Linked DNA regions of Oryctolagus cuniculus. The protein of the gene in region 3 purifies or fractionates together with the protein of the main gene of each other region. This does not show direct contact. Links are inferred from orthologs where the notes say so. Each region holds a gene or a part of one and is shown on either strand. Other genes may lie near its edges. The genes, in order: PLD2, LLGL1 and DNAJA2.

Region 1 (4,119 bases), on a different chromosome or scaffold from region 3:
GGCTCAGGCACTCAGGTTCGTCAAATGAGCAAATGAGAAGGGAGCTTCTCTTCCACTGGGAGCACGCCCCCCCCACCCTCCCCCCCACCCCCGCTCCGGCTTACAGGGGCTGCTCTCTCTGGCCCCAGACTGTAAGAGCATCCCAAGCATGTGGCTGGACCAGTTCCCAGGTTCAAAACTACTTGGATCCCAGGCACTGGAAAAGCCTTCCCTTCCTCTCTGCCACAGTCCCCCGGCCCCGCATGAACCCCCCTGAGGGTGGCAGGTTGGGTCCCCTCACCCCGGGGAGCCCTCACCTGTGGGAGGTGTCGATGCGCACCCCATACCGTGCCTCTGTGCTCCTCTTCCCCACCTGTACCTCGAAGCCCGGGTCGAAGAGCTGAACAAAGGAGATGGCGCCGGTCTCCAGGGTCATGTACAGCAGGAAGGAGTCTTTCACTACCAGCCACCTGGACGGAAGGGCTCCGGTTCCTCCCTGCCCGCCAGCTCCCCTTCCTCACCCCCAGCCCCCGCTCAGCTGCTCAGTCCCCACCCCCACCTCTTGGACCAGCGATAACAAACTTGGTCTCTGCCACAGCAGGTGAGGCCAGGGACGCGGTGGCCACCCGAGCGCTTCCGGATCACGCCCTCCCTGTGGGGACAACCAGGAAGAGACGCTGGATGAGGGCTGCAGCCCCCTGCCCGCCCCGTTCTCAGGCGGGAAGGGCTGGGGAGTGAGGGCTGCAGACGGCTGGGGGAGGGGTGTTCCACACTCACAATCCTTTGGAGCCCAGGTCTGGGATAAAGGACAGCTGACTGACTTCCAGGAACTCTGTCTGCAGAGGAAGACGAAAGTGCAGAGGAGCCCCCTGGCCTTTGGTCCCTCGTGGCCCCGTGGACCCAGGCCCATCGTCCCCTCGGGGACCTCACCATGGCGTGGTAGTTGCGGTAGAAGGACATGGTCAAGAGGCGGTTGAGGTAATTCTCCAGGTATTTCTGAAGTGGGAATGGGAAAGAGAAACAGGTGGGACCAGAGCCACGTGCACAGAGGGACGCCTTCCCAGGGAACCAGGTGTCTGCCGCACCTGCTTGCTGGCTGTGTGTCTGCTGGAGCCCTCATGACCTGCTCGGGGTAGAGAGGGCATCTCTCTGTTGGTGGCCTCTCGGGTCACAGAAGAGGGAACAGCGAAGCTGCGGAAGGGATGGGGTGCGGGTCAGGCCCTGTCCCAAGCCTGGTGTGGAGGCGCAGGTGGGGGCAAAGGCACTGGCAGGCTGGGCTGCTGGGGTCTGGGAGGAGGTCAGGGGGCTGGCACAAGGCAGACCTCCCTGTCCTGGGATTGGAGAGGCTGCCAAGGCCACTTTGGGCACCCAGCCCAGCTGAGATGTTGGCACGAAACCGCAGCCAGGGAGAGCTGAGCAGGGCAAGTTTCCTAGTAACCAGGGTCAGGGGAGTTGGGGGCCGGGAGGTGCCTGGGGGTGGGCTGCACAGAAAGGAGCAATGGCTGCCGCGGGTCGAGGGGCGTCTGCCCTCCCCATGCAGCTGGGCTCCCCTCACCGGGCCAGGGGGAGCAGACTCATCAGGACTTTATGTCTCAGGAGGTCCCGGTGCAGCTCCTGGAAATGACGGAACTTCTTCTTGGTCGTCCAGGTAAAGTCACCGTGCGTCAGGCGGACTGAATACAGAGTGCAGGTTCCCACCTGAGGATGTGAGTCGCTGAATCCATGTCCCCTCCCCTCTGGCCAAAGCCACGCCCACCCCACCCCCCCACCCCGGGGCCTGCCTGGCCACCTTGGATCCACTGGTGTATCTTTCGGTGCCCACCACCTGGGCTGTGACAGGGACCCCAGGGGCGAACACCAAGGGGCGCGCTTTCATCGGCTGAAGGTCGTAGATGGCCAGAAAGGGGTGCATCCGGTCAGCTGGGAGGAGACAAAGTCCAAGACTGGAGCCCCCAGGAGGGCCCCAGCCCTCCCCGGCTCCCCTCCCCCGGGGGCCTTGATCCTGAGTACCTGGGTCCTCTCCCTCCCTCAGCGTGTCCACCTCATCCGGCTCCATCTGTAACTGGCTGGAGTCCAGGTCGTCCCCAGAGGAGAAGGGGCTCCTGGGGGTCGCCGTCATCTAGGAATGCGGGGCCGCCTCAGGGGGGCGATCAGCCCTGCAGGTCCCACCCCCCAGCCTCGCACCTGCGCCTCTCACCTCCTCCTGCCCGGCCACCTCCCCGTGACGCGGCTAGAACCTCCATCCCCTACCCCAGGATGCAGGATCCCTCAACTCCGCCCTCTCGCGAACCGGAGCCCCCGGGGTACACCCAACCCAGCCCGGATGTCCCGAACTAGGGCAGCGCAGAAACCAGAGAGCGCGGGGCCAACGCGGCTCGGGCCGGGCCAGGCCGGCCGAGCGCGGGGGTCCCGGCGGGAATGAGGAAGTTGCGCGCTCCTTGCCCGGGAGAAGATTCCTGCAATCTGAGCGTGCGGCTGAGTCAGAGGCCCCCGCCGGTCGCAGCCGGTCTCGTCCCCGCCCGCTCTCCGGGGCGCGACACCCCCGCGGCGCCCCCAGCCCGGCCCCCTCACCCTGGCAGCTCCAGCCGGCGCCCGCGCGGTTTCGCGAGCCGAGGGAAGCGGAGGCGAACGCGAGCCGGAGCCGGTGCCCACACCCCAGCGGGCCGGGGCGGGGCCGGGGCTCGGGCCTGCCCTCGGGGGCGGGACGGGCCCCGGCCTCCCCTCCGCGGGATTCTCGCCTAGCGCGTCCCGCCCCCGCCGCCCTCGCCGCCCTCGGCCCGCCCCGGCCCGGCCCGGCCCGGCCCGGCGAGACCGGGGACCTCCCACCGCCCGGGGGCCGCCTTCGCCCAGCCTGGCTGTGCCCTCGGTCCGAGGGCACCCGGTCGCCACCCAGTGTGCGCTCCAACCGCGCGCGTCCCTCCGCGCTGGCCTCTCCACCAGCTGCGCTGCCTCGGGCCCCAGGCTGGCCGCGCTTCCGCGGGGGCACCTGCAGGTGCCTCCTTTTCCCGGAGAGCGTTTGTAGAAGGAGGGGATGAGGGGAAATGCACCCTTACATTCATTCACCAAACATTTATTGCGCGCCTGCTCCGTGGTAGACTCTGAACTTTTAAACAAGGACAGTCCAGGGAAAATGACATTTTGTTACATTTCTGTTTTTTAAGCTAAGCAGGTTGCTTTATCTACTCCTGATGGACGGTTGGATTGTTTCTAGTTGACTGCTCTGAATAAAACTCCTATAAACATTCCTGTATAAGTCTTTGTGTGGCTTTTATTTCTCTTGAGTAAATAGCAGTAGGGTTTTTGGGTCATATAAGTGTATGTTTAACCTACAAGAAACTGCCAAGTCGTTTTCCACAATTTTCACATTTCCACAAGCTTCAGTAGTTCCAGGTATTCTACAATGGCCAACACGCTAGATTCAATTTTTAAAATATATTATTTATTTGAAAGTCAGAGTTAACAGAGAGGGAGATCCCAGATGGTCTGGGCTGGGCCAGGGGGAAGCCAAGAGCTTCATCAGGGTCTCCCGCGTAGGTGGCACTTGGGCCATCTTCCTTTGCTTTTCCCAGGCCATTAGCAGGGAGCAGAATTCAAAGTGGAGCAGCCAGGACAAGACGTGGCACCCAGATGGGATGGCAGTGTTGCAGGCAGCAGCCTTACCCTCTATGCCACGAAGTCAGGCCCTTGATAGTTAACTTTTTTAAAAGGTTTAATTTATTTGAAAGGCTGAGTGAAATAGCAAGAAGGAGAGATAGATCTTCTATCCACTGGTTCACTCTCCAAATGGCCACAACAGCTAAGACTGGGCCAGGCTCAAGCCAGGAGCCAGGAGATCCATATAGGTCTCCCACATGGATGGCAGGGGCCCAAGCACTTGGGCAGTTACCTGCTGCTTTCCCAGTTGCATTATCAGGGAGCTGGATCAAAAATGAAGCAGTCGGGTTTCTGGGTTATATAAGTGTATGTTTAACCTACATGAAACCGCCAAGTTGTTTTCCACAATCTTCAGTAGTTCCAGATATTCTACAATGGCCAACATGTGAGAGTCAAGTTTTAAAACGTATTTATTTATTTGAAAGTCAGAGTTACAGAGAGAGAGGGAGACCCCAGATGGCCAGGGCTGGGCCAGGGGGAAGCCAA
Region 2 (4,019 bases), on a different chromosome or scaffold from region 3:
GCTCGGGTGAGCCGGCACGGCTTCCGGCCCCCAGCGGGAACCGGGAGGCCCACCTCCCCGCCTCTCACCTGCGCAGAATCTCGTCGGGACCCAGGGTCTGCCCCTCGAGCAGCGTCAGGGTGGGTACATCCAGGAAGAAGACACCGCCACCCTCGGTGCCCAAGGCCGCCGTGTCGCCAGCAGCCACCAGCAGGACCACCGTGATTCGGGTGAGGCTGGGCGGGGGACTGCAGTGGTGGGAGGGGTAGGGGTGAGGGCAGGTCTGTCCACCTGCCAGGGAAGGCTGTGACGGGGGCTGGGCCGCCCCTGTCCGCTCATTATAGGCACCCTCCTTGCTGCCTGGGGCCTACTTATGGGGCGGGCCGGCACCCCAGGAAGGCCCCGGTGTGGTGTGATTAGCCTGCTCAATCATTCATCAGGATGTCGGCGCAGAGAGGAATAAGAATAGGTTCCCCCGGTCTCGCAGACAGGCCTGGGCCCCCCCTGCCCAGCGGGAGGCCAGGCAATCCAAGCCCGGACCTGGAACCTCGGGCAGGCCTGCGGATGGGACCCCACTGCAGGACCCCGCTGGAGGGTCAGGGCTCCCCACTCCAGCAGGGCTGCGGAAGGAGAGGCCCCCTATACTTTTTTTTTTTTTTTTTTTTTTTTTTTGACAGGCAGAGTGGACAGTGAGAGAGAGAGACAGAGAGAAAGGGCTTCCTTTGCCGTTGGTTCACCCTCCAATGGCCGCCGCGGCCGGCGCGCTGTGGCCGGCGCACCGCGCTGATCCGATGGCAGAAGCCAGGAGCCAGGTGCTTTTCCTGGTCTCCCATGGGGTGCAGGGCCCAAGCACCTGGGCCATCCTCCACTGCACTCCCTGGCCACAGCAGAGAGCTGGCCTGGAAGAGGGGCAACCGGGACAGAATCCGGCGCCCCGACCGGGACTAGAACCCGGTGTGCCGGCGCCGCAAGGCGGAGGATTAGCCTAGTGAGCCGCGGCGCCGGCCAACCCCCTATACTTTTACCCCAGGGTCAGGCCTGGGCCATCCCGTGGGCCCCCGGGACCCTGCTCGACCCCAAACCAGCCCTTTCGTCTATGGGCAAAAGGCTCCTTGCCCACTCCCGACCCAAGTGGCCAGGGGAGCTTTGCCCGAACCGCCTGACATCCCCGCCACGGCAGGGAGGCAGGGCCGGCCCTCAGGCCTGGGCACTTCCTGGCACTTGCAGCTGGTGCGGCTCTCGCGGTCAGGGAGCAGACAGCCTGCCTCTCGCCTGCGGTTCAACAGCAACCTCCCATCAGGCCCAAAACGTCCACGGAGCACACCTCCATCAACTGCCACTCTGGGGCCAGGCCGGGCTCAGGGCGCCTCGGACCCACACCACAGTCCCCGGGACTCCCCTCAATCCCCGCCGGGAGCTGGCCGCGGCCCAGTATTCCGGTACCTGGCACCGTCGAAGCCGGACCGGCTGGGTGGCTGGAAGCTGAGCGCCTCCTCCAGGTGGGCGCAGCCATCATGGTGGGCGATCTCCCAGAGATGCAGGCTGCTGTCGTCCAACAGGGTCAGGAGGCGGCCCTGGGGGGGACCAGAGACCGAAACTGGGCTGGCCTGGGGGGAGCGAGGTGGGACAGGGGTGGGGGGCTACAAAGGTGGGGGCAGAGGCTCACCTGGCCCGGCAGAAAGTGCATCTGGGTGACAGTGGCTGTGTCCCGGTGCAGGCCGGTGAACTCCACGCCGGGCGCACCGTAGCTGAGAGTGACGGTCAAGGGCAAAACCCAGCAGGCACAGACCAGGGAGCACCCTAGGCCTTCTCTTCTTAGGAGCCCGCCCACCAAGGTCCTCCGAAGGCCTAGTGGGCCCCCTTCCCGAAGCAGCTCCCATCCTGTCCCCCCCAAGGGATCCCCAAGCTCCACTAGTGGGACCTTCACCTCCTCATCTGTAAAATGGGCCCATGACTCCCACTTGCTCTGGCTGCTGGCCCAGAAGTGGCGCACACCCGGCAGCGGCTCCACTCCATCTCAGCCGCGGGTGTGCTGTGTGGGCTCTGAGAGCCGCGTGGTGCAGGCCGGGGGTGCAGGGCCAGGCCCGGGGAGGAAGCCCAAGGGCAGAGGAGTCCAGGCTGCCTCTCCCTGCAGCTTCAGGCCAAACTCGAGGGCAGGGAGCCAAGAGGAAGGGGCGACGCCCCAGGCGGCCCACTAGGCAGAGGTACAGACAGCGCCTTGGAGGGATCCGGTGACTCCGAGTGCCCAGCAGCCCAGGACTGCCGGCAGCCCCCCCCACCCGAGGAGGGCTTTAGGGAGGGGTCAGCAACGTTGCCCCAGCAACAAGGCAGAAGCTGTTGCCTGGAGTTGGAGCCTGGCAGGGTACACAGAGGAGGGGACAAAAGAGGGAACAGGAGCAGCTGGGCGGGAGTCAGGGTCGCCAAGGAGACGGGCCGCCTCGCAGGGGGAGGGGCGGCTCCTGGGGCCCGGGGCCAGCCCCTGCAGCCTCAGTTTGCCGCAGGCAAGGGCTCCAGGCTGTGCTAGCTGCAGCGGGAGGAAGGGAGGCCCAGAGAGCCAGGGTTCCAGCCTCCTCTCTGAGGGGGTTTCTGCATCGTACCCCAGGTTCTCTGTGAGCCTGAGGCACACCACCCAGGAGGGGCAGCTCAGGACACCCCCCCCGCGCCGCCCCCGCCAGACAGCCCAGCACCAGGCTCTGGGACAGCCTCTCGGCTGCAGGCCTCACCCGTGGAGGCAGCTCTCGCCCAAGAGGGTCGGGAGCAGCAGGCCAGGGAGTGGGTGCTCCGAGGCCAGGTGTAGGGTCGCAGCAGCCCACGGGAGAAGAAGGGACACCCCAGCCCAGCCACGGAGCTGGCAAAACACAGGCCCCGACGCCCCCCCCCCAACCCCGGCCAGCACCAGCAGCCCGGGCTGAGACCCTTCTATCCCACGCCCTCCCCTTTCCAGGCACTGCCCGGTTTTCTGCCAGTGAACGTCCACACGTAGGTAAATGAGGCCGAGGGGCACGGGTGGGCACCCTCCTGAGACCCGCACCTCGGTCTGCCTGAGGGCCGCCGGGGTGGGCTTCTCCAGGGCAGGCAAGGAGGCATTCAACAGCCGGCCACCGCCCCCCCCACCCTGCCCCCAGCCCGGGCCCTGCCGGGAAAATGCGGGCTTTGTGCAGCTCACACAACCCATTGTGCGGCTGCCAGGATCCAGGTGGGGGCCCTGCTGCGTCCGCCATGCCCAGCCTGGCACTGCCCCCAGCCCCCTCCCCGAACACATGCGTCTTCACACTCGCCCACGTGTGTGTGCCCACTCGCCAGGGCCCCCCGGTCCACCTGCCACCCTCAACAGGTACCACAGCCCAGCCCCACCGGCCAGGCCACCCTGCTCACAGCTGCTGGGATGGTGGCAGGGTTGCCTAGGTAACCAGCTGACCGAAGCAGTGAGGGACAGCTGTGGCCACTGTAAACTGACCCCGCCCCCCATCACCCTGTCTCCCTACGCGTCCACAGATGTGCTCCAGGCCCCAGCCTGCTCCAGGACCCCAGCACTCGGCTTCAGTGCCTTCGCCCTCGCTCCCGAGCTGGGCTCCGCAGGGCTGGGTGCTCCCAAACAGGCTCCGGCCCACCTCCAGGCCGCGGAGGATACATCTTGACAGCCCCGGACCGGGTGCCGATGGCCATGATGCGGAGTTCGGGGTCGAAGGCCAGGGCGCTGGGCTGGTTGGGGAAGCCATGCTCCACAGTCTGCGAGAGAGGGGACGCACGCTCAGGCCCCAGGTGGCCGCCGGGCTCTGCCATCGACACGGGGGCCCAGAGCCAGGCTCACCTGCTCCTCGTGCCCCAAGGCCTTCCAGTCGGTGGAGGGGGGGGGTTGGGAGCACCATGCTACATGACTTTGCTGCGTGCACGGCCCTGAGGCCCACCCACCTCAAGCCCCGGTTCCCTCAGTGCCCCACCCCCCCACCCCGCGACTGTACAGCGCGAGGCTTTCGGGGTGCACAAGGACCCCACCTGCCCTATGGGGGGCTTTGCACCCCGGTCCCAGAGGCACAGAG
Region 3 (4,119 bases):
TGACTATAACATGCAAACACACTATGCTTTCACTTAGTTTTGAAGCAAAAAGTTACTTGGAGGAATTAAATACTCCAAAGAAAATCATCTTTATACTTCGAATTTTAAATCACCTAATAACAAGCAGCCACACTACGTAACAAACCCTCTTCCTACTCAGGGAAAAATACCAAGCATCCTTTTTAAGAGCTGCAACAGCATATAGACAATGAAGACAGTAGGGCAAATGGATACCTCCCCATGAACATTTTACAATACTTTTTCTCTTCTAATGCCACCCAAAAGGGTATTTTATTTTTTGTTTAAAAAAAGGAAAAGATATTTACTTGAGTGGATGCATCATGTCCTCTCCTCTTCTTCTGCCGTTTCGACTTCTACTCTGATTGCCCATAAAGCCGAACAATCCCCCACCAAAAATGTGAGAGAAAATGTCATCCATGCCACCACCGCCGCCACTACCTTCCCGAAGCCCTTGTTCTCCATATCTGTCATATAATTCACGCTTCTCGGGATTTGATAGAACTTCATATGCAAAGCTTATTTCTTTGAACTATAGAGAAAAAGTAAAAAATAAAATAAATGGGTTTATTTCTATAAAAACCTAGAATCCACTTAACCTCAATAAAAGCTACATGTTCCCTTTGGTTTGATTCTACCTCTGCTCAAAATGTTAGTACTCATATCTTGATACTAAAATACTCTTATTCTATGAGCATAGGTGAACTTTCCCCCGCAACAATCCTTTTTCTAAGGACAATTAAATTTAAAATGAAAACCACAGGAACAGAAAAATTTCCAAGTAACTTACTTTGTCTCCAGCATTTGGATTCTTATCGGGATGGTATTCCTTGGCTAATTTTCTGTATGCCTTAAAAAAAAAAAAAAATTAAGAAAGGATTATACACAAGCACCAGTTTAAATACTTGTGATAACTAACTTAATATCTACTTTTAGGAAAAGCAATATTCTGAAGTGGTAACCTTCCAAAAATATCCCCTATCCATGTGCTGCCCAGCTCAGCATGGTTGACTCACTAACGTTACAAAGTAGTCAGTAGCTGTCCTTGAAAATAGCTTCTACTGAAGCAAAAGACACCAAAAGAAAAAATGTTAAGATATTATCCCGTATTTGCACTGTCAAATGTCTTTGATGGCCAGTAACCAGACCAAGACTCAAATCAATTCTAGAAAAACGACTGGTACGCTCCACAGACCGCAAAACATTACTATAATTTAAAATAAAAACCCCTGCCCATGAAGGCTGCAGCCTCCTCTCTCTCGCACAACAGGGAAAAACCAAGGGAAGGCCTGCCTGGTGGGTAATTAGGGGCTACAGCGAGGAGGCAGGAAACTTGCCTACATCCTCAACTCGGTGGCCGGGACTCAGGTCTCCATTCACACAGACTCATGAATTATATAACAGACGTGCATTTCCGGTAAGGTAACAGGAAGTCCATCTTACTCTCAGCTGTACCCGTCCCACTGAGCAGCATTCTCGTTTCTCTCAGGTTACAAATACGGGCACTCTAAGCCCGGGAGGATGCTGTGGGGCTTAATTAAACGCCCTAACCGCTTTGAAATCCCGAGATGAAAGCCGGCGCAGCACTGCACAGGGCGGCAATGAGGCCTTCCATTTATTTTTAGGCAGTGTCCACTCAGGTGCTTGGCTGGGACCCCATGGTTCATTCCAGAAGTGGGTACGGAACATGTAGGTTACCTGCCCAGAGAACAAAGCATCCCAACGCAGACCCACGCTCCCGCCCGGTCCATGACTGATGGAGGAAGAGAGGGAGGAGCTCCCGAGGCCGGCAGCCACGGCGCCCAGGAAACAAGCCCCAGCACCCCAGCACCCGGCGGGAGCGGCCTCGACCCCCGCCGCGCGGACGGACAGCCTCTCCCTCCAGTCAGGATGCGCCGGAAACCTCGGTCCAACCTGTTTTTCCGGGGTTGGTGACCTCGGCGCGGGGAGGGCCGGCCAGGCTGCTGCCTCCCGGGAGCACCGGCCTCCGGCGCTCACCGGGGGAGGGAGGCAGGAAGGGTTTTCGGCGTGTTTGCGCAGGGCTGAGTTTTATTTGCTGCATCTGCGGGCGGGCGGGGCCGGCGGCCCAAGGTCAGCCGAGGCCGGCGTGCGAGGCCCGCGGCGAGGCCGGTCCCGCCGCCGCTCCCCAACCTGGACCCACCGCGGCCGGCGCCGGCTCGCGAGCCGCCCCGCAGCGCGGCCTGCCCCAGCCGTCCCGGCGGCGCAGGCCCCGCGCCCTACACATCCTGCCGGCCCGGCCCGGCCCGGCCCGCTCCCTACTACCTTCTTCAGCTCATTCTCGCTGGCGCCCGGCGGGACGCCCAGGATGTCGTACAGCTTCGTGTCGGCCACGTTCGCCATGGTGACTGGCCGGGCAGCGCTGAGCTAGGAAAGGGGCGAAGCGGACAGAGCGAAGCCGGGCCCACGAGCAGTGGCGGCGGCGGCGGCGGCGCAGGCCGAGGGAGACAGCGAGGGGGAAGCGGGGGCGGGGCTGAACCTTGACCCGGCGCACGACGCTCCGTGACGTCACTGCGCGGGCCCGCCCCCGAGCGTCTGGGCCGGAGCCGTTGGGTTGTGAATGGTGCGGAGCGGGCCGTGTGCTCGCCGTCTGCTCCAGGGCTAGGCGGTGCTGGGGTTCCGACGTAGAGAACGAGGAGGACCTTTACGCGGAACTCAGCCCACCCCGGAAGGCGTGCGTCGCGGGCTCCGCGTGTTTAACGCAGCCCTGAGGGCCGAGATGAATAAGAGGCCCGCGGTCGCCCTTACTTTAGCCTCGGGTCTGGCGGGAAAGAGTCTCGCGTCAGTCTCAGAGTCCAGATTGTCGGAGGACCCTCGGGTCTGGTTCCTTCGGGATTTAAAATGAAAAAGCACCCCTGGGGTGTGTCTCAAAATTGCGGGAATCCTCAACCATTCTCCAAAAGTAGTGTTCATCAAAAGTAGCTGCTTTTCACCAGTTTTGTTTCATCCCCCCACCCCACCCCGCACGGTCCCTCAGTCCGTACTTCCCAGTGTTTTAAGAGAAACCATTTCATTCATATGTATCCTGAGTATACCAGGGGGCTAAAAAGAGTTGGTGGGAAATGTGCCTTATCTTTTAATTCTATTTTTCTAAGACCCTTTTATAGCCCCCACGTATACCTGAGAAGACTTTAAGGCATCATCACAAAGTTAATGAAATTAGCAGTTCCCTTATCTAATTCCAATCCATAGGTGTATTTCCCTGATTGTCTCATGTCCGTTTTGCAGTTGGTATGTGGCGTCCACATCCAAACCCAAGGCCACACATTGTATCGAGATCACGTGCTTACATCTCTTGATAAAAAGCTTTAAAATAGCCAACACCAGCCTTGTGGTGTGTAGCAATCTGGCTGTGTGGAGATTCACCTGGTGGTTGATGTGTGTTGATTAACTTTGCCTTAGCTTAGCTCGGACAATGTTGGCTGTGCATATACTTGGTGTTGAGATATACAGAAGCAGAAGCCTGGGTGGTTGGAGGAGACTGTTAAAAAAGCCTTCCTTCAAACCATTGTGGAGACAGAAAAATAAGATGTGCTCATCAGCTGGAACCTGAACTGGTGGCATCTCACTCAGGATAGCCTTTCTTCCTTGGCATTCTCCCTGACCTAGTTGCTGAGTCCTGAGTGCCATACGAAGGACTTTGAAATTTAGCCTGAAAAGCCTGGGGAGTCGTTGATAAGTTAGGATGCTCTTCCCAAGAACCCTCCCTTTCCCTCAAATCCCAGCCTGGTGAACTCTACTATCTGATTTGAGTTCCCACTAACAGTTCGTTTTTGCCTTTGTGGACACTGCTGTGTGACCTGATGATGTATTCTGACGGGATCATCTGAACTCCATGGATAGCTGTAGGGTACCCTAGAGGAGATTCACTTTTCTGTATTCCACAGGGTCTGGCTTTGAATGCAATAAAGGCCTCAGTAATTCAAATGCATGAATGTCCTTATTGTTTAAATGCTGATCATCATCTTTCTGTGCTTATGTACTGCTGTGAAATACCATTTCTCCAATGCCTTTTCACACTTTGACATGTTCATAAGAAGGAGTTTAAAAAGTTGGGGTAATGTTAGATTGTGTAGACTGGTA

What was found.
Region 1: the proteins of DNAJA2 (region 3) and PLD2 purify together in Homo sapiens (affinity purification with mass spectrometry; 3 studies listed by BioGRID and IntAct, with this or other methods). This does not show direct contact. The link is inferred for Oryctolagus cuniculus from reciprocal best matches to the Homo sapiens genes DNAJA2 and PLD2.
Region 2: the proteins of DNAJA2 (region 3) and LLGL1 purify together in Homo sapiens (co-immunoprecipitation; 3 studies listed by BioGRID and IntAct, with this or other methods). This does not show direct contact. The link is inferred for Oryctolagus cuniculus from reciprocal best matches to the Homo sapiens genes DNAJA2 and LLGL1.

What each region holds. Positions count from the first base shown.
Region 1 is NC_091448.1:51,411,872-51,415,990, forward strand, and holds the start of PLD2 (phospholipase D2), read right to left. Parts: upstream 2,686-4,119; 5' UTR 2,551-2,685; intron 2,099-2,550; coding exon 1,990-2,098; intron 1,900-1,989; coding exon 1,769-1,899; intron 1,678-1,768; coding exon 1,535-1,677; intron 1,171-1,534; coding exon 1,065-1,170; intron 976-1,064; coding exon 910-975; intron 816-909; coding exon 757-815; intron 632-756; coding exon 539-631; intron 450-538; coding exon 297-449; intron 1-296.
Region 2 is NC_091448.1:62,286,390-62,290,408, forward strand, and holds part of LLGL1 (lethal(2) giant larvae protein homolog 1), read right to left. Parts: intron 3,709-4,019; coding exon 3,611-3,708; intron 1,728-3,610; coding exon 1,646-1,727; intron 1,554-1,645; coding exon 1,423-1,553; intron 228-1,422; coding exon 69-227; intron 1-68. UniProt on the Homo sapiens protein: Cortical cytoskeleton protein found in a complex involved in maintaining cell polarity and epithelial integrity. Involved in the regulation of mitotic spindle orientation, proliferation, differentiation and tissue organization of neuroepithelial cells.
Region 3 is NC_091449.1:30,783,775-30,787,893, forward strand, and holds the start of DNAJA2 (dnaJ homolog subfamily A member 2), read right to left. Parts: upstream 2,570-4,119; 5' UTR 2,380-2,569; coding exon 2,302-2,379; intron 869-2,301; coding exon 809-868; intron 551-808; coding exon 327-550; intron 1-326. UniProt on the Homo sapiens protein: Co-chaperone of Hsc70. Stimulates ATP hydrolysis and the folding of unfolded proteins mediated by HSPA1A/B (in vitro).